2 linked regions of the Elephas maximus indicus genome follow. The protein of the gene in region 1 purifies or fractionates together with the protein of each later gene. This does not show direct contact. Links are inferred from orthologs where the notes say so. Each region holds a gene or a part of one and is shown on either strand. Other genes may lie near its edges. The genes, in order: cytochrome c oxidase subunit 6B1 and CHCHD4.

The links.
Region 2: the proteins of cytochrome c oxidase subunit 6B1 (region 1) and CHCHD4 purify together in Homo sapiens (co-immunoprecipitation; 3 studies listed by BioGRID and IntAct, with this or other methods). This does not show direct contact. The link is inferred for Elephas maximus indicus from reciprocal best matches to the Homo sapiens genes COX6B1 and CHCHD4.

What each region holds. Positions count from the first base shown.
Region 1 is NC_064829.1:114,612,029-114,622,783, forward strand, and holds the start of cytochrome c oxidase subunit 6B1, read left to right. Parts: upstream 1-6,788; 5' UTR 6,789-6,895; intron 6,896-8,754; 5' UTR 8,755-8,765; coding exon 8,766-8,871; intron 8,872-10,755. UniProt on the Homo sapiens protein: Component of the cytochrome c oxidase, the last enzyme in the mitochondrial electron transport chain which drives oxidative phosphorylation.
Region 2 is NC_064838.1:39,926,816-39,937,665, forward strand, and holds the start of CHCHD4 (mitochondrial intermembrane space import and assembly protein 40), read left to right. Parts: upstream 1-6,502; 5' UTR 6,503-6,682; coding exon 6,683-6,704; intron 6,705-10,850. Other genes in the region: TMEM43 (transmembrane protein 43), read right to left, coding at 915-1,064, 6,139-6,150.

The sequences.
Region 1 (10,755 bases):
TCGGCCCCCTCCAACCTGAGCTAGACCACCCAGCCCCAGGACCCTCACCCCACCCCCCATCACTAGCTTCCCCATTCCCCACCCCCTCCCGCTCACTGCAATTAGGGAGGCAAGGAAGGAGACCGGAAGAGAGCGGTTCCAGAAAGGAGGTTTTAAATGTGTGCACGGGAGTCCTAGGAACAGGGAGGAAAGAGAAGAGAGCTGGGGTGGAGGAAAGACAATCAGGCAGAGATGGAGGAGATGGGGAGGGCAGCTCAAGGCAGACAGATGAAAAAAGACTGAGAACAATCAGCCAGAAATAGGGGAGTAAGAAGGGAGATGGGGAAAAAAAAAAGCAGCGAGATGGAAACAGAAGATGGGGGAGACAGGAGCACTCAGAGAGATGGGGAGACTCAGGTGGACACGGACTTGTCAGAGAGAATGAGTGACAGCCCTCACTGGAGGCAGGCCTGGGGCAACACTCAGAGCTGGGGGAACCTACCGGGGAGAGACAGATGGCAATACACAGGAGAGAGGCCTCTGACCCTCAGGCCAGACTGGAAAATGTGATGCAGTAAGGGGGAAGACAGGAGCAGAGGGAATTTGAGATCTCTTCTGGAGAGGAGGCCTGAGGCTGGGGGGCAGGGAAGGTCAGGACTCCCTTCAGGCCTCTGGGGTTGGATGGATGGGTGGAGACCATATTGTCCCTTCTGTAAAATGGGCAATCGCAACACGCATCGGAAAGCCGGACGATGAATAAGGAAGAACAAAGAAGAATTGATGCCTTTGAATTATGGTTCTGGTGAAGGACACTGAATATGGTAGAAGAACCAACAGGTCTGTCTTGGAGGTAGTACAGACAGAATGCTCCTTGGAAGCAAGGATAGCGAGACTTCATCTCATGTACTACGGACATGTTATTAGGAGGTACCAGTCCCTGGAGAAGGACATCATGCTTGGTAAGGTAGAGGGTCAGCAAAAAAGGGGAAAATCCTCAATGAGATGGACTGACACAGTGGCTGCAACATTGGGCTCGAGCGTAACAGCGATGGTGAGGATGGCGCAGGACGGGGCAGGGTTTTGTTCTGTTGTACATAGGGTCACTATGAGTTAGAGCCGACTCGACAGCACCTAACAACAACAACAACCAAATGGACAGAAGAGCAGTGCTCACTCCCCTCAACCCTCCCACCTCCCACCCCACCAACCACCACTCCCCCACCCCCCTTACAAGGGATTCTGGGGAAGGCGTTTAGAGTAGAGCTGCATGGGGGAACAGTTATTAAGATGAAAGGAGAATGGCAACTGGTAAATGATTGAAGCTGGGTGAATATTGGAAAATGTCCCTATAAAGAATTAGGGTATTTTTAACAGTAAATATTATTGACCTATTAATATACCTTGATGGGCTTGAGCAGAGACTCTGAAGCCAGGTTGCCAGATTGAGAAAATAAAAACACAGGACACCCACTTACATTTGAATTTCAGAGAATTAATAAATTGTTAGTATACGTATGTCCTCAATGTTGCATGTGTGTATATGTTGCATGTACACATTTTTGTTTTTTGCGGAATGATCTGAATTTCTTCAAATGTTACATTGTAACACTTCACTCCTGAATACCTCAGTATCCATCTCTCAGTAGAGACATCTTTCCTATCATACTACCACTACCACATCTACGGATATTAACAGTAATTCTGATAGCTCATATTCAATTCATGATCAAATCTCTCCAGTTCTTCCCAACTGTCTGTTATAACACGGAGGGGCATGGGATCTGCAGTGGAAGTAGAAGGAAGCCTGCCTCAATTTCCTGCCTCATAAAATGCTGATAAGAATACTAACTACCTCTTAAGAGGATTAAATGAAGACCCAGCACAGCTGAGCACAACAAGAAGCCCCCCCCGCATAAAATGTTAGATATTACTATTACTTTTGTATTGCTTATACTGTCGATGTTATTATGATTGACATTTCTAGGGAGCAGTCCCCAAACGTCCTCCCCAACACCCTTGGAAGGGCCTGATGGGGTTTCCCGGGTCAGCCTCTCTTCACCCCACCCCACCTCTGTGGATTGTGACGTCGACCGTGGGGAGGGGATGGCCGGAAATCCCGCTTCCTGTTGCAGATAAGCCTCGCTCAGCCCAGCCCACCCCAGACCCTCTCCCTCTACTATGTCGCAGAATCAAGTCCCCCAAAGGGAGAACCTGTACACTGAGCCCTCCCCGCCCCCTCCCGCCTGCCCCCCATCACCACGTAGGGCTCCCCACTCCCTCAGCCCGCTGTTCCCGAAGACCAGGTCCAGGCCCAAGCTGCTCCAGCTGCAGGACAGCCCCAGCGACTCGGGGGGGTGACAGGCGCCCATCCCTGAGGCTGGGGGGCGCGGCTCCGCCCTGCCCCTGCAACTCGACCCCGCTGCAACCCCCAGCTCTGACGTCTTGGAAAATTCCCCCCTGCCCCGGCCCCCGGGGAGGGGGTCCATGGTATGAAATGGGGCTGAGACCCCCGGCTGAGGGCAGAGGGACCTGCCAGAGGTGAGCGCAGAGCTGGAGACTGGGTGAGGAGGGGCTGGGGGTCCTGAATCCTGGGTCTGAGAGTGGGGAGGGCTGAAAGCTAAGTCTCCAAGATCGTGGGGAAGGAGGGAGCAGGGGCCAGGCCCCCTGGGTCTGAGGCAAGCCAAGGGTGGGGGTCCAAACTCCAGGGTCCCTAAGTGCCACCGGCTCAGTGTTGCTCTTTCCCATTTTCCTGGCCCGGAACATTCAGAAGGAACATCCATGGATTTGTCGAACTGGGATGGAGCATCACCACAGGAAGTGCCCCCTGGGAACAGGCTCTCAGGGCTGGGTAGGCTGCTGGGGCTGAGGCTGTGGAGAGGAGGCCCAGGTGGGACCCCTGCTGACCCCTGAGCTGGCCTTGACCACTTTATTGCCTGCAGCGGGAGTCGAACTTGGCTTCTATTTCCCTGAATTGGCACGTCAAGAGGACACGCTGACAGCAGAGACATGCTGTAAAGGTGGCTGCAGGCGGGGAAGAAGAGGGCTGGGTTCCTGGGTCTGCTTGAGGTCCTGAGGTCAAGGGAGGAGGGATCCCAGGGTCCTGAGTCCTGGGTCCGGGTGGGTTGTTGAGGGAGGGTCTCTAATCACTACTGACACCCTTCTCTAAACACAGCTACCACCTTGCCCCTCGCAGGGCTCCCACAGTTGGACTGGCGCTCCGCCTTACCCCACCCAGAAGCTCCATGGGGAACGGGTGAGTGTGTGGAAAAGCGGAGGTAGGAGGAAACTGGGGGTCCCAGAGCACCGGGGCTGGAGGCCTAGATTCCCAGGTGGTTGAAGGGAAAACGTGCTGGGACTGGAGACGCCTGTGGCTTCAAGGTGGCATGACCTGGATCCGTGTAGCTGCTCCCTCCACCCCGAGTAACCGGAGCCCGGGCCAGGAGGCGCCGGGGCTGAGACCTTAGACACCCAGACCATCCGAGTGGGCGAGGGCCGGGACACCTGAGCTCCCCTCACTTGGGGTCCGTTCCTCCTTACAGAGCCCGCCCCTCAGGCCCTTCAGTGGCCTGGAGACTGGACGGACCTGGCATGTCTCAGCTCGGACCCTCGGAGTCCCGCCTCCCAGGCCCTGGGCCCAGCCGGCCGCGGCCTGGGCCCCACGCCCTTCGCTGGTTCTGAAGGGGTAGCGGGGCTGAACTGTCCCCCCTCGGCAGGAGCGGCCCCTTTGTGGTCGCCTGCCCAAGCCGCGGGGGGCTCCACCAGCTGGGACTGCTCGATCGGCCCCGATCGCGCCACCTGCCCGGGCCTCAGCCTAGAAACGCGCGCGGACTGTAGCGTTTCGTGGGGCGGGCCTGCGGGCTCGGACTGTACCACCTCCTGCGCCCGGGGGCTGAATGCGGACTGCACCACCCCTTCCGAGCGGTACCAGAGTTCAGGTCGCACCACTTCCTCGGAACCGAGCCAGCAGTCGGATCGTTCCACTTTGACTTGTTACCGCCAAACTAGCCACCGAGGTGAGAGGTCCCCGAGGGAGCCCTGCCTGAGTGCAGCGAGGCGGGGTCAAGGAGTTTGAGGGGGAGGGACCCGGGAAAGGGTGTAAGGGCGGGGCTTAGGTACCCTGGTGCTTGGGGAAAAGACCAGCGTCTTCTAGGGAGCAAGCGGATGGGGGCCCAGTCTCCACTGCACGCCTGGATCTCCAAGGCTGTTGGTTGTTGTGTCCCATCCGTTGATGCCGACTCACAGCGAGCCTACAGGACAGAGTAGAACTGCCCCCTAGGGTTTCCTAGGCTGTAATCTTTAAGGGAACTGGTCGCCAGGTTTTTTCTCCCGTGGAGCGGCTGGTGGATTCGAACCGCCGACCTTTAGGTTAGCAGCCAAGCTCTTAACCATTGAGCAACCACGGCTCCATCTCCGGGGTAGGGAGGCTAAACTCCTAAATCCCCGAGATGGGGAGAAGGAGCGGATGCCTGAGTGTCCAAAGCAGACTCTTGGGTCCCCTATATGAGGGCTCCAGATTCTTGGGGCCTCGAGTTGGTAGGACGCCTTGGACGTCCTAGGTCGTCGATGCGCCACGGCCTGGGGCCCTGAAGCCTGAGTGTTCACGCCTCCTCGTCGCAGGTCCTATTCAGCTGTGGCAGTTCCTACTGGAGCTGCTCCGCGACGGGGCTCGTAGCAGCTGCATCCGCTGGACGGGCAACAGCCGCGAGTTCCAGCTGTGCGACCCCAAAGAGGTTTGGCCGCCCCCCAGCCCCACCTGGCCAAATCCCGCCCTGGTCTCCTTTGGCCGCCCCCAGCCTCGCCCTCACTAGGCGCCTCACAACGCTTGGTGAGCCGGGTCCCGGCCTCTACCCCGGCCACCCGCCTGGGACCTGTCTAACTTTTGTCAGGACCCCACCCCCGGCCTCGCCCAGCCAGGCCCACCCTGCTCCTTCCCCGCCCCCTCTGAGTAAGCCCCGCCTCTGCCCCAGGTGGCGCGCCTGTGGGGCGAGCGCAAGAGGAAGCCGGGCATGAATTACGAGAAGCTGAGCCGGGGCCTGCGCTACTACTACCGCCGCGACATCGTGCTCAAGAGCGGTGGGCGCAAGTACACCTACCGCTTCGGGGGCCGCGTGCCGGGCCTGGCCTAGCCGGACCGCGCGGGGCCCGACTAAGAGCAGTGACCCAATAAAAACATCCCGTCAAACCTCATCGCGTGTGCTGGTCCGCATCCTTCCCACTAACGCTAGGGAGCCTACCTGGGCACCACCACACCCGCACCCTCCCCTTCGTGCTGAGTGTTCCTGAGACACAACAGTGGCCCCAAAGACTGATCCGAAGGGGACCTACTGTGTGTCCGCTCGGTGACGCGGCGTGCCAAGGAATCAGAACCAGCCCCCATGGCCTACAGTGTGCCTGCCCTGTGTTGGGGCGCGTAAAGGAATCAGACCCAATCACTCATGTGTGAGTTTACCTGCTGTGTCGCCCTTGAAGAGGACTTCTGTAAGGGCCCTGGTGGCACAGTGGTTAAGAGCTCCACTGCTAACCAAAAGGTCAGCAGTTCGAACCCACCATGCGCTCCTTGGAAACCATATGGGACAGTTTCAGTCTGTCCTATTATAGAGTCGTTATGAGTCGGAATCAAAGGGTCGGCAGTTCGAATCCGCCAGGCGCTCCTTGGAAACTCTATGGGGCAGTTCTACTCTGTCCTATAGGTTCGCTATGAGTCGGAATCGACTCGATGGCACTGGGTTTGGTTTCTTTGGGGGGGGTATGAGTGTTTTTTTTATGAGTCGGAATTGACTCAATGGCAAAGGGTTTGGTTTTTTGGTTTTCTGAGTCATCAGAAACGAGGGGACGGTTCTGGGCTGAGGAGGATGTTGTCGGGGTCCCTCTGGCTGAATGGGCAGACTGGGGAGGGCAGCAGGTAGCTAGGAGGCCAGAGAATAGGCTACTGCAATAATTCAGGCTGGAGGTGACCGTGGCTTAAACCAGCTACGACAGGGGAGATTCTGGATATGTTTTTAAGGCCGCGATGGAATCATTTCTTCACGGACCCAAACCCAAACCACACGAAACCCACTGCCGTCAAGTCACACTCACAGCGACCCCATAGGGTTTCCAAGGCTGTAATGTTTACGAAAGCCGACTGCCACATCTTTCTCCCGCTGCTGGTTTCGAACCGCCGACCTTTCGGTTTGCAGTCGAACGCTTTAACCATTGCGCCACCAGGGCTCATCACAGCCCCAAGTCACCCGAATCTTTATTAATTGGTGCCTTATGAAGTTTAAAAAAAATTTTTTTTTTTTATGAAGTTTGGAGAAAGATGATGAGCAGGGAGGTGGAGTCTGGGTCAAAACGTGATGAGTAACCCCGGGGGAGAGATTGGTTTGTTTTCAATCTTCTAACAATTGGCCCCTTAAAAATCATCATGAAGGCAGGGACTTTGGTGTTTGTTGTTCAAAAATGTATCCTCAACGCTTAATAGAACTGCATGGTATAGGGTAAGCGTTCAATAAATATTTCTTGCACAAATAAACGTCCTTCCAATGGGATAGCCTTCTCCAGGCTCGTTCTCCAGCCAGCCCCGGGACCCACAACTACCTTGCTGGGGTAAAGATAGGGAGATCATGAGAGCCTGTAAGTGGGTATCCCGAGCCCCAGCTGGGAGCCTTTCCAGGTGCCGCGCCAGCTCACGGTTGGCCTGGGAGTGATGGTGAACAGGCAGTGAGCCCAATGGGAGGGCGGAGCTCCATGGGTGGGCGGTGCCAGAGCGGCTTCCGGGTACCGCCTCCCCGCGGGCGCTCTAGCCGCGCGAAAGACTCCTCAATGCTTCGCCTCGCTCCACTTCCGTCAGCTCTTAATTCCGCTTCCGGTCCGATAGAGGCGTCGCCTTCTGAGGGTCACATTGAGCTGCGAGCGGTTTCAGGGGTGTCTTTAGGTGAGTATGGCGGGCAGGGGAGCCTAGGACCCCAGCCGGGGGACTGAGGAACCAGACCCCAGCTTCCCCGAGAACAGAGGGAGGCTTTCGGCCGGTGACGCCGGGCTTCCCCGTGAGCCTCCGGGGGCCTGTTCTGTGAACACAGCTGACGATTGTGCAGTGTTTTTTTAATGCCAGGCGGCTTTTCAAGCGCTTTGCTTATATTCATTTAATCCTCCCTCCACCCTTGTGAGGTCGAGCCTGGGATGACCGCCTTTTGACAGTGGGGACACTGAAGCTCTGAGATGTTACGGAAGCGACGTAGCGGAGTTCACACAGCGACCAGGATTCGGACCCAGTAGTTGGACTGCAGAGCGCTGGTGGCGCAGGGTTTGCGAGGTCGGCTGCTAACCGAAAGGTCGGCAGTTCGAGCCCAGCAGCCGTTCCTCGGAAACCCTCTGGGGCAGTTCTTCTCTGTCCTGTGGGGTTGCTATGAGTCGGAATCGGGATTTTGGGTGGGTTTTGGTTTAGTGTGTATTGCAGTGCTTTTAATCACCAGGCCGCAGGCATGACCTCCCGGGGCTAGCCTGGACCGCGGCGTGGCTGGTATCCGACCCCTCCTTTTCCTTGGACGTTGGGAAGTCCGCGTCCTCACCCCAGATCCACCGTCATCCAAATATCGATTTGAGATCTCGCCCGAATAAAGCTACTCTTTGTCCCCACGGCTGTGTTCCAGCAGCTGGTGTTTTACATTCCTCTCCGACTTCCTCTCCACCTCCCCTCTCCCGAAGACTGTTGCGATGCTCCTGACCCCTACTGCTGCGCTGGCCGCTTGAATTGAACACCGGTCTGGGCATCTCTCTGCTACCCATGACGCCGCGGATTCCCTGCAATTCAGAGGCAGTTTCTCGCAGATTCCCAGGCGAAGACTGTGCTTCAGCTCTTTAGAGACATTATATCGGAAGTTTTTAACCCTATGTCCGCAGAGTCTATAGAATTCGAGGGATGCTAGCGCTTGAAGAGGGGACAAATTACATCTGTATTTTTAGGAACCTCTGATTCAAATATAGCATTTCCTTCAGTTAGAATGGAGGCAGCAGCCTCCGTAGTATTAACAGCACCTGTATTTTGGTCACCAGTCAAAATCACAGATACTGTTATATCACATTGGAAACCCTGGTGGTGCAGTGGTTGAGCGTTTGGCTGCTAACCAAAAGGTCGGCAGTTTGAATCCACCAGGCGCTCCTTGGAAACCCTATGGGGCAGCTCTACTCTGTCCTGTAGGGTCGCTATGAGTCAGAATTGACTCAATGGCAACAGGGTTTTTTTTTTTATGTCACATTACAGTTGCTGCAGATTTCATAGAATTATCCTTCTCACGTGTGATTCCTTCAAAATCGTGGTTGATAAAGCTGCAGCAAGATATAACTGGTTTTTGTTGTGATTCTATGCAATTTAAAATATATTTAAACACATTCTAAGGAAGGTTTATAGGATTCATCTGGCCCCTGAGGGGTTCACGGCCTCTATGGTGTAGGGTACGCCAGTGGTTGAGTGTAGCACCCCACCATGTGTATGGTGTGTGACCTTGGGAAGCGACTTAGACACTGTCCCCTCGTCTGTGCAGTGGGGACAGTTTCTACCTTACAGAGGGGCTGTTGTGAGTAAAGTGTAGAACGGCACCTGGCATGTGGTAGGCAGTGTATTTGGGGCCAGGCCTGATTTTGCTAAGGAGTAGTCCCCAACTGTGCTGTGACTTCCACACCCAGAGATATGGATTTGTCCTTTCTCTATCCGTTCTGTGTCTGGACCTGGGTGGATGGACATCCCATGCCTAGGCACCCCAGAGTCCCTACCAACACCCACCCCCTCTCCTCCAGGAGTCATCACCATGTCAGAAGACATCAAGAGCAAAATCAAGAACTACCGGACTGCCCCTTTTGACAGCCGCTTCCCCAATCAGAACCAAACCAGGAACTGCTGGCAGAACTACCTGGGTAAGCAAGGTGTGGTGGGAGAACACAGATCTTCCCCTGGTCTCATGCCTCAAGTCCCCCCTTCCCCTTTCCTTCCCCCTTCCCCCACCCTGCTGGGGTCTCCCATGCATCCTAACACTGGTCCTAGCTCCTCTTTTACCTCTGGAGAGCTAGTGCCAGCATGTCCAGGGTCGGCCACGATCACAAACTTTGATTTCTAAAGAATGGACAGCAATAGGTTTGGTTTTGTGTGTGTGTGTAATGCAACATATGTACAGGAAGTACATAAAACAGTGTACAGCTACATGAATAATTCTGAAATGAACCCCCAAGCACCCATAGCCTGAATCGAAAGTGGAATATTGCCAGCACTCGGAACTCCCCTGCCCTCTGCGTGCCCTGTCTTGAACACAGCCCCCTACTCTCCCCACTAGAGGTATGACCCCACAGGTGGCAGTCACAGTTGGGGTTTTATCACCAAGTTTTTAAGTTTCCTTCTCAGTGAGCTTCATACATACTAAATGTATTCTTTGTGTTTGGATGTGTTTATTCACATTTTTAAGATTCAGCCAGGCCGTGGCATGTAGTTTGTTCATTTTTATTGCTCCGCTGTATTCCACAACTTACCTCTTCTCTTCAGGGACACTTGTGTGGTTTCCAGCTTGGGACTCTGAGAATGATGCTGCTGTAGACGTTCTTATAAATGTAACCTGATGCCTGCGTGCAACGGGATGGAATGGAGGGAAATGGAGTGCCTGGAGGTTTTTTTTTTTATGGAATTTCTTTTCATTTCTTTCATTATGGTTGATTTTGTACTTGCTAAGTTTTTGTTTTTCTTATTTTTATTTTTTATTGTGCTTTAGGTGAAAGTTTACAGCTCAAGTTAATTTCTTATACAAAAATTATTATGTGACCCTAGTTGCAATTCCTATAATGTGACAGCACACTCCTCCTTTCCACCTGGGTTTCCCATGTCCATTTAACCAGCTTCTATCCCTTTCTGCCTTCTCATCCTGCCTTTGAACAGAAGCTGCCCGTTTAGTCTCGTGTATCTGTTTAAACTAAGAAGCACACCCTTCACGAGTATTGTTTTATGTTTTGTAGTCCAGTCTAATCTTTGAATGGTTCGCTTTGGAAATGGTTTTAGTTCTGGGTTAACAGAGAGTCTGGGGGGCCATGTCTTTTGGGGTTCCTCTAGTCTCAGTCAGACCACTAAGTTTGGTTTTTTTGTGTGAATTTGAGTTCTGCGCCCCACTTTTCTCCTGCTCCATCAGGACTCTGTTGGGTTCCCTGTCAGGGCTGTATCCGTGGTAGCCGGACACCACCAGGTTCTTCTGGTCTCAGGCTGATGGGGCCTGTGGTTTACGTGGCCCTCTTGTCTCTCGGGCTAATATTTTTCTGTGTCTTTAGTATTCTTCATTCTTTGCTCCAGGTGGGTTGGGACCAACTGATGCATCTTAGATGGCCACTCGCGAGCTTTCAAGACCTCAGACACCACTCATCAAAGTGGGATGCAGACCATTTTCTTAATAAACTTTATTATGCCATTTGGCCCAGATGTCCCGTGAAACCATGGTCCCCAGACACCTGCCCCTGCCAGTCTGTCCATTGAACTGTTTGGCTGTGTTTAGGGAACTTTTTTTAGCTTTTGGTTTAGTTCAGTTGTGCTGACTTCCCCTGTATTGTGTGTTGTCCTTCCCTTCACCTAAGATAATTCTTGTCTACTATGAAACTCTGGTGGTGTAGTGGTTAAGAGCTACAGCTGCTAACCAAAAGGTCAGCAGTTCAAATCTACTAGGTGCTCCTTGGAAACTCTGTGGGGCAGTTCTACTCTGTCCTATAGGGCCACTATGATTCAGAATCGGCTCAATGGCAATGTGTATGGTTTTTTTGGTTTATCTAGTT
Region 2 (10,850 bases), on another chromosome or scaffold:
TGAGAGCGGAGGAAAGCAGCTAGCACCAAGTCGGGGTGGTTCGAAGCAGTTGTGCTTGCTGCAGACTGTCAGAGCATGATGGGCCTCAGAGAGGCACTGCGACTCTTCCCTCCTTTTTACAGCTAGAAAGCTGAGGCCCAGCAAGCATGCAGATCAGGATTGGAGCCCAGGATCCCTGCTCTTCCAGGCAGACCTCTTCCCATGACTCCACTGGTCCCTACCCCTCCTCTCCTGCCAATCTCAGCACTGACCCCGTGTTAGGAAGAGCTGGCCCCTTTCCCCAATTTCCTTTGTCTTCTCCACCCCTCGCCTACTCTCAGCGCATGTGGTTTACGTAGGCTGATTTGAACCATCATTTAAATCATTTGACTAAGGCCTAGCCACCAACAACCCCCTGGCTACAGGATTTGGTTCAGAGAGAGGACAGAGACCCAAGCCAGGACACTGAGAGCTCTCCCTGCAACTGTGGCTAAACTGATTTAGAAAGACATGGTTCCTCTTTTCTCTGGGGTTGCTAAGCTGGTTGGATGTCCCCCTGGAGTTGCTAGGGCCACCTCTGTCATCATGAAGAATAAGCCTTCCCAAGAACAATGCCATCACAGAGAAAAACTGCTAAGGGATGGAGAAATGAAGATTCCTGATGACCCAGCATGAACACCTGGATCCAACCAGGCCTGAAGCTGGGGCTACTCCCAGGATTTTTAGGCATGTGAACTGATCTGTTCCTTTTCCTGCTTACATCAGTTGTGAGATGGGTCACAACAGAAAAGCTTCTGATGAATTCAGCACCTCTCTCTCTTTTGGAAAATCTGGGCCCTTTATTACCAAATCTAGCCTCTGGATTCACAGCCTTAGCTCTCTGACACCGGCGGGGCGGACCCTCACTTTATACAGTGGGACCCTGAACATTTTACCTCATTGGTGAAAATTATGTAGAAGGACAGCAGGAAGGTCATGAGCCCCACAAACATGCCACCCGAGGTCTTGCTAAGCCGCTCCAGGAAGCCTGGCTGGGGGCTTGCTGTTGTTTTCGTGTGTTCTCTTCTGTTAGCCGTACTGGAGTACTGAGGAAAAAACAGATTTTTAAAAGTCAGAATGAGAGTTAGGTTTTTAAAAAATATAATTGAGTTTTGCTATTTATTTATTTAAACTCAGTTCTTATTGAGATACAATTTTCACACGGTAAAAATGCACAGATATTAAGGGTATAGTTTAATGGGCTTTGACCAATGTATGCCCTATGTGACCAACACCCAGACCAAGATAGAGAACATTCCTATCACCCAGAAAATTCCTTTGTGCCCTTTCCTATCAGTACTCTCCCTACCCTCAGATGAAACAACTCATCAGATTTCTATCACTATAGATGAGTTTTGCCTCTTGTAGAACTTCACATAAATGGAATCATACAGCATGAAATCCTGTCTGTCTGGCTTCTTTCACTCAGCATAGTGCTTTCTGAGACTCATCTGTGTTGCATATCAGTGATTTGTTCCTTTCTTTGGCTGTGTAATATTCTAATGTGTGGACATGCTACAATTCATGTATTCATTCACCAGTTGATGAACACCTGGGTTGTTTCCAGTTTGGGGCTATTATGAGTCATGTGTGGACGTGTGCCTTCATTTCTCTTATATGTTTGTATGCATAAGAGTAATGAAACATATATACATGCATATATGGAAACCCTGGTGGCCTAGTGGTTAAGAGCTATGGCTGCTAACCAAAAGGTCGGCAGTTCGAATCCACCAGGCATTCCTCAGAAACCCTATGGGGCAGTTCTACTCTGTCCTGTAGGGACACTATGAGTTGGAATCGACTTGACGGCAACGGGTTTTTTATATGCATATATATATATGGGAGTAGAACTGCTGGGTCATAAGACAGACGTATGTTTAACTTTTTAAGAAACTGCCTGTTTTAAGAAAAGGTTGTTAGAGATGTATTTTTAATTAAATTCAACAAATAGTGACTGAGCTGAGGGCCATGCATGCTGGGCCTGGTGGAGAGGAAAGAGGGGGAGACAGGCTTATGGGGCAGTCATGTGACAGCCACAAACAATACTAGAAGATCATGCTGATTGAGTGTCCAGTGAGAGGGTGGATCCATGCTAAACAAGTGACCCCTTCCAGCTGGGGGATCAAGGCAGGCTGCCAGGAAGAGGGTACATTTGAGGAGGGTTTTGGAAGGGCATCCCTAGCAGGGAAGCTGTGCAGAAGTGATTCTATAGGAAGAGCTGCCAACCTGCTGGGCCTAGGGCTTTAGGGCAGTGGGGGAGATGCAGGAAGCGAGGCACAGCCAGGCCTCTAAAGCCAGGCTTTGTTCAGGTGATAACAAAAACAAGGTTTGGAGTGTGTTCATAAGCATGGAATCTGCAGGACTGAGTTTGAGTCCTGGCTCTGTCACGCCAGCTATGTGACCTTGGGCAGCAATTTAATCCCTATGTTCCTTCCGTTTTTTTCATCTGTAAAATGGGAACAATAATCCAATGCACTGGGTTCTTGTGAGGACGTAATTAGATGGCTCAGTGACCAGTGTATGGTGAGCCCTGTACAGGTGCTGGCTGGTGGGAGTGTTATCAGGTTTCTCTGTGGTGTCAAGGCTGGGGTGAGCTGACAAAGGTCACCAAGATGTCAAGTGGTTTGCAGATGAGCACCAGGGTGAGCGAGGACCCATCCTGCACTGAGTTGGGTGGGGGGGAGGTGTCAATGGAGAGATTCAAGACAGAATTTCTGCTTCAACAAAGCGGATACCAAGTTCTTCTGCTTGTCCCTGAATGCCACCACCACAGGCTTGTCAGGGACTAGGTGTCCATTGTGTCCAGAAATGGTCTTGACTTTCCATGCCATTTGGAAACATTAGTGGAGTTACTCACCATAACAAAGATGGTAAACATCCCTGTCTACCACATGCCCGTCATGGACAATCCCAAGGCGGTGGGTGCCATCACTACTCCTATTTCACAGATGAGAGAACCAAGGGCTGGGGGTTAAGTCACCTGCCTAGATCACATAGTCAATAAAAGATGGACTGATTTAGGATTCAAATTCAGGCAGACTGGAGGCCACTCTCCTACTGCTCTGCTCCAGACTGCATTCTGCATTTCTTCGGCTGTAATGTGAGTTGAACCCTGGGAGCCAGCCGTGGGCAGTGACGGAAAAGAAGAGAGGGCAGCCCCAGCCTTGGCCTCCCCTCAGCTACCTTGAGAAGCCAGTATCAAGAGAAGGGGCTCAAAGACGGCCTTGAAGGGAGGGAAAAGAAGCACAGGGGGTCCCCCCAGGCTAGGGTTATGGGTAGGAGGTGACACAACACACACAGTCCGCATTCTGAACTGATATTCCCAGTAAACGTGGAGGCATATTTATCCCCAACGACACATACCCAGCTCTCAGGGCTCAGAGACAACGTGGTAGGAACCGAGATCCACATCCAGGCCTTGGAATAGGACAGAACTGGATTTAAACCTCAGTTCTGCAAATCATGGGCTCTGTGACCCTTGGCTGTTGCTCCACTCTTCTAATTCTGTTTATTCCCTGTCTTAGTCATCTAGTGCTGCTATAACAGAAATACCACAAGTGGATGGCTTTAACAAACATAAATTTATTTTCTCACAATCTAAGAGGCTAGAAGTCCAAATTCAGGGCATCAGCTCCGGTGGAAGGTTTCTCTCTCTATCGGCTCTGGAGGAAGGTCTTTCTCCTCAATCTTTCCCTTGACTAGGAGCTACTCTGCACAGGAACCCCCAGCCTAAAGGACCTGCTCTGCTCCCGGCCACACCCCAGGGAAACTCCCTTTACATTGGATCAGGAATGTGACCTGGTAAGGGTGTTACAATCCCACCCTAATCCTCTTTAACATAAAATTACAATCATAAAATGGAGGACAACCACAGAATACTGGGAATCATGGCCTAGCCAAGTTAATATACATATTTTAGGGGAAACATAATTCAATCCATGACATTCCCTTATAAAATAAGATGGTATAGTACCTCCCTCACAGGACAGTTGTTATATGGCTATGAATTCTGTCACTTTTCTTCTCTGATCCACCCTTCCCTCTTCAGATCTTTCTTCTTCACCAGCCTAGTAAACCAAAAACCAAACCCACTGCTGTCGAGTTGATTCCGACTCCAGCCTGGTAGCTCCTGTAAATGTGCACCCAGCTACTGGATGAATAAACCAAGGCTTGGCTGCAAAGGATAGCTAAGCAAGTCTGTTACCTGACAAAGTGTCTGGTCCCAACATATGTGAGACGGTCTCTGCCCAAACCAGGACAGGGAGATAGACACAGTCCAGCAACTATGAGGACAGAATTTCTTTTTTCCATATATTAAGTACCTACTATGTGCTTTTTTTTTTTTTTTTATGTGCTAGGTGGTACAGTGATTAAGAACTGGGTTGCTAGCCAAAATCCACCAGCCATTACTTGGAAACCGTGCAGGGCAGTTCTACTCTGTCCTATAAGGGTCGCTATGAATCAGAATCAATTTAATGGCAAAAGGTTTATGTGCCAGGCGGAGGCATGGTAGCACAGTAGTTAAGAGCTCGGCTGCTAACCAAAAAGGTCAGCAGTTCAAATCCACCAGCCGCTCCTTGGAAACCCTATGGGGCAGTTCTACTCTGTCCTGTAGGGTCGCTATGGGTCGGAATTGACTCGACGGCAACAGGTTTGGTTTTTTTGGTTTATGAGTCAGGCACTGTGCTGAGCAGTCTGGCTTAAACTTCACAGCAAGCTATAGGAGAGAAACCATTACTGATTCCATTTTACGGACGAGGAAACATAAACCAGAGAGAGTAAGGCCACACAGCTACTGAGCAGAAGAATCTGGATCTGCCCTCAGGGCTGCCTGACTCCAAAGGCACCTCTTCAGCACCTTCCCATGACAAAACCATTCCCTGGAGCAAGTGCCTCTGCCTGCTGGGAAGTTCCACATTGTAAAATATGGTGAGGGGAGGGGCAGCCAAGAATCCACCTACTGGGAGTGGGATGGCCTCCTGGCTGCACCCTCCTCACAGCAGACCCTGGGCCTCTGGGTCTGAAAGCCCACGGACCACCTCAGCTCAAGGCTTCTATCCCCCACACTCCCAGGGCAACACTAACCTGAAGCAGAGCGTGCTAGGGTTGTGGGTGACAAACCCTGGTCTCTCAGGGGGCGTGGGAAGCAGAGAATGCTCAGGGACAGAGAAAGGGTATGGAAAGCGGGTGTAACAAGCCAGGGGACGGTGGCTGGAACACTCCATCAAAACACGAGGGAGGGTGTGTGTGGGGATGGCAGGATGCCCAGGCTGGCTACAGAAGCACTTTCACACAGAGGAGTGGTGAGTCACCAGCTTCTCCCAATCCAGCACCCTGCAGGAGGTGCTGCTCCTCCCTTTGTCGAATGAACGTTGGGCGTAAATAGAAAAGCTCCTGAGAAAGGCTGGCTGCAAAGAGAAGAGGGCAGCCTTTGGAAGGGAACCACCTTCAGCCAAGGCCTCTTTAATCAAATCCCCTCTAGAAGCAGGCGGATCCGGCAGTTGGGAAATGCGCCTTCTCACCATAATCCTAACTCTTGCGCCCCAGCTCAACCCGAGCCCCTTTGCTGCATCACGGCCTCGATGTGCATACATCCCTAGAACGGGGACCTCACTTACCGTCGGGCCAGCCCTGTCCGTTGGTGGAGAGCTCCACTTGGGGCCGGAACGGCCACCCCGCCCTCCCCACAGACAGGCCTCTCTCTGAGGTCCCCTCCAGCTCTCATATTCTGCAAGTTTGAGAACCCCAATTTGCTCACATGGAGTCTCCACGAGTCGTGATCACCTCGATGCTAACTAACAACAAGTGCCCAGGAGGGAACTGGGAATGAAATGTAGGGCCTCAGGTAGGCGCCGCGCTCAACAAGATGCCACTGCCAGAAGCGACACCTCCCGGGTTTCCCTCCCCACAAACGCGCGACCCGAGGATGAGCTAGGCTAAAGAATATGGACAAGCGGAGGATGGAGAGATTCAAGATAGATCAACAGGCTGACGAGCTGCCAGCGGCATGAACACAACCGTGCAGAGGTAGACAGACAGCGGTCAGACGAACAAAAGGAACCGGAGGCCCCTGGGTGACGGCAAGTCTGGGTGTGGCCCGGGTGAGCAGGAGACACTCACGTTCGCGGCCATCGTGGCACCTGGCTCGTCGCCGCCTCCTCGCTCTGCTCAGCTAGAGCTGACAACCGGAATCCAGTGGCCTCTTGCCGGCCGGGAGCTGCAAATGCCGGCGTGGGGTCCAGGACAAGGCGGGACTTGCTACAGAGTTACCACCCCAGGCGCCCCCATTCTTCTGAGCACGCGCGCCGCAAAGCCTCCTGGAAAATGCAGTCCGTGGAAAGCCCGGAGTCACAGGCTTCCGCCACAAAGTTGCAACATGCGCGGAACCGCACTCGTGCGCATGCGCATCGCAGGACTTTCTGGGAAATGTAGTTTCTGCTGCCTGGAAAGGGGCCATGGGACACGCAGCCTCCTGGGAAATGTAGTTCTCAATTGAGGGGCCGGGCTGAAGCTAGGAGGGCGCGGAAGCAGGCGCGCGGCGGGCAGGCCTGGAGGGGGCGGGCCCGCGCGGGCCTCGGAGCCGCCCGCCCTACCTGAGAGGAGGTCACGGCGTGGATCCGCCACCGCCGCTCGGGCTGCGAAGTCTGAGTGCCCGGCTGCCGCCATGTCCTACTGCCGGCAAGAAGGTAGGGAGGACGAGCAGGCTGCCGTGGAGACCGGCCTACGAGGGCCTGCAGGGGACACGGCACCCGGACAGCCCCCGCAGGCCCGGGCGCCCCGCGACCCCACGGCCGGCCCGGCAACCCGAGGCGCAGTCCTGGGCGCCGTCCTCGGGACCCTAGGGGGCGGTCTGGGCGGCAGAGTCTTCACCCCATTCTGCAGATGAGAAAACCCAGGCTCTGGGAGGAACGGGGCTGGTCCAAGGTCATGGAGAGTCTTGAACCCTGGCCTCAGAGGAACCAGCACGTGCGAGATTCATAAACTAGGCCCGGAGGGTGCACGAGAAATGCTGAGCACGTTTCCTGGCCCGTAATTGGGAATTTATTAGTATTAATTATTACAGTCACTCTCACCACAAACCACGTGTTTCCATACTGCATGCGCCTTGTTCCTGTCCCGAAAAGTTGCCCCTCGGGTCAGATGCTGTGCAGGAGTGGTAGAAGTACCCCTGGCGGGAACACTTGTTAGCCCCTACTAACCCTGGTGGTGTAGTGGTTAAGAGCTAGGCTGGTAACCAGAAGGTCGGCAGGCCGAGTCCACCAGGCGCTCCTTGGAAACCCTATGGGGCAGTTCTCTTCTATTCTGTCTTGTAGGGTCCCTATGAGTCAGAATCGACTCGACAACAGCGGGTTTGGTTTTGGTTACTACGTCAGGCACTGTTCAAGGAGCTGTTACATAGTTTATTTCACTGGCCTTTCAGCGATCTAAGTCAGCTCCTGTTTTTATCCCCATTTTACCGAAGAGTAAATTAAGGCACAGAGGGGTTTAAGTGACTTGGCCTAAATCACATGGCCAGTATGTGGTGGAGGTGGGTATGAGCCCTGGCATCTGAACTGCACTATCCAATCTGGAGCCTGGGTTCCCAGGAGCCTTAGGCCAGGAAGGCTTCCCCTCCCCCGACAAGGTGGGTCACCACTCACGCCTTTCTGTTTCCCTGTTGTTACCACTAGGCCAGAGCTTGGAAGGTTAGATGGTACCAGTGCCTCCTCATATGCTACCACTAACTGATCTGCCATCTAATTCCTCCCGGCCCCACTTTCCAGTGGTGTAAAATGAGAAGTTGAGCTTCATTCATTCTGCAAATAATCATGAAACACCTCTGTGCAGGGCCGGTGGACACTTAAGAATATAAAATTCCAGAGAGTCGGAACTCACCCAGAGATTTTTTGGTCAATAGTCCTGTCCCCTCAGTTTAACTCAGGAAACCTGAAGCCCAGAAAAGGGGCTCACCTGTCCAAGGGCATGCAGCCAGTTAGGGGCAGAGCTCCTCGTAGAATGATAGGCCTTTTCCCCAATACCCCAGCCTGCTTCTGGAACTTTTCCTCCTTCCCTGGATCATAAAGCCATAATACTCACTGATGTCTCTAAAAACCCATTGCCATCGACTCTGACTCACAATGACCTTATAAGACAGAATAGAACTGCTCTCTAGAGTTTCCAAGGCTGTAATCTTTGTGGGAGAAGATTGCCACATTTTTGTCCTGCAGAGTATCTGCTATGTTCAAATCACTGACCTTTCAGTTAGTAGCTGAGCATTTAACCACTGCGCCACCAGGGCTCCTTCTAATGTCTCTAATGAGCACTGTTTCCTGCTGATTAATAATTAAGTCTGCCATAAACGAAAGTCCTCTGCCCTAACCAGTTTATGTTAGACAGTAAGTCCTTTGTCCTATTTTTAACTCCCTTTCTCTTAGTCTCAAGTTTACTTCATTTAACAAATCATTTTTGACCCTCTTGGGTACAGTGAGGCTGTGCAGATAAATAACACCTCTTCTGTTCTTGAGGAGTTTACAGCAGTCACAGGTTCTCTGGGAAGGAGGGGCAGTGTCCCTCTGCCACCAAAGCGTGAAGCCCTGTCTTTTCCTGGTTCAGAGGTCTCTCTCTTCCTTAGTTTGGAGATGAGAATTGAAAGTACTCACTTGCAGGCCTGTTTTAGTTGTTACTACAGGTTAAAGGCCTTAGCTTGGTATTCTAGGTGTTTTGCAGTGTGAACTCAGCCTTGCTTTGTGGCCTTGGGCCACCCGTACTTCTCCGTCAGCTCCACACTGCTCCTTTCTTTGGTTTCTTCTCTTCCTAATACTGAGCCTGCCCTCTCCTGTTAAGTCATCAAATATTGAGCATCTGTATGTGCCAGCCATTGGACATATATTAGTGACAAAGGTGACACAATCTGTGCCTTCCTGGCATCTGGTGGAAGAGAGGGGCATTAAAGCACCAACAGTTGTCATTGTTGTTAGGTGCCCTTGAGTTGATTCTGACTCATAGCGACCCTCTGTACAACAGAACGAAACGCTGCCCCAGTCCTGCGCCATCCTCACGATCCTTGTTATGCTTGAGCCCATTGTTGCAGCCACTGTGTCAGTCCATCTTGTTCAGGGTCTTCTCTTTTTTGCTGACCCTCTACTTTACCAAGCATGATGTCCTTCTCCAGGGACTGATCCCTCCTGATAACATTGTCCAAAGTATATGAGATGTAGTCTCACCATCCGTGCCTCTAAGGAGCATCCTGGTTTTACTTATTCCAAGACAGATTTGTTCATTCTTTTGGCAGTCCAAGGTATATTCAATACTCTTCGGGAACACCACCATTCAAGGGTGTCAGTTCTTCGGTCTTATTCATTGTCCAGCTTTTGTATGCATACGAGGCAGTTGAAAACACCACAGCTTGGGTCAGGCGCACCTGAGCCTTCAATGTGACATCTTTGCTTTTCAACACTTTAAAAACATCTTTTGCAGCTGATTTGCCCAGTGCAGTGCATCTTTGGATTTCTTGACTGCTGCTTCCATGGGCATTGATTGTGGATTCAAGTAAAATGAAATCCTTTATAATTTCAATCTTGTCTGCATTTATCATGATGTTGCTTATTGATCCCATTGTGAGGACTGTTATTTTCTTGAGGTTGAGGTGTAATCCATACTGAAGGCTGTGGTCATTGATCTTCCTCAGTAAGTGCTTCAAGTCCTCTTCACTTTCAGCAAGCAAGCCTGTGTCATCTGCATAACACAGATTGTTAATGAGTCTTCCTCCAATCCTGATGTTGCATTCTTCTTCATATATTCTAGCTTCTCAGATTATTTGCTCAGCATACAGATTGAATAAGTATGGTGAAAGAATACAGCCCTGACACACACCTTTCCTGACTTTAAACCACGCAGTCTCCCCTTATTCTGTTCGAATGACTGCCTCTCGATCTATGTAGAGGTTCCTCATGAGCACAATTAAGTGTTCTGATATTCCCATTCTTTGCAATGTTAGCCATAATTTGTTATGATCCACACAGTCCAATGCCTTTGCATAGTAAATAAAATACAGGTAAACATCTTTCTGGTATTCTCTGCTTTCAGCCAGGATCCATCTGTCATCAGCAGTGATATCCCTGGTTTTACGTCCTCTTCTGAATCAGGCTTGAATTTCTGGCAGTTCCCTGTCCATGTACTGTTGCAGCCACTTTTGAATGATACTCAGCAAAATTTTACTTGCATGTGATATGAATGATATTGTTTGGAATAGACAAAAATCCCTGCTCTTGTGGAGCTGATGTTCCAGTGGGGGAGACAGGCAGTAAACACCTAAATGTGTTAGGTGGGGAAAAGTGCTTTGGAGAAAAATAAAACAGGGTAAGGAGATGGGGAAGTGGCCTGGGAAGGGGGCATCTGAGCAGGAGATGTGAAGGCAGGGACAGAGTGGCTATGAGGAGATCTGAGGGAAGACTGCTCCTGGAAGAGAGAACAGCCTGTGCAGAGGCCCAGAAGTAAGAGTGTGCTCAGCAGGTTCAAGTAAAAGCAAGGGGCCAGTGTGGCTGGAGTGGAGGGAGCAAGTGATGGGAGATGGCATTGTAGCGGTGAGGGATGCCGATCTTTCTGGATATGTTTGAAGGTAGAGCCAACAGGATTTGCTGATGGAGGTGTGAGAGGAAGACAGGGTCAAGAATGGCTCTGCAGAGAGTAAAACTGTGGAATTGAGAATGGGGTGTCTTGGTGTCGAACTGCTCAGTTAGTCGCTCTGTTCTCAGTCTGCACTCCTGCTTTCACCTCTGAGGCCTCTAATTCCAGAGCCTTACCAGGGTCCTGGGGTGGGGAGCGATTTGCTTCTGGCCGACTTCCACTCCGTG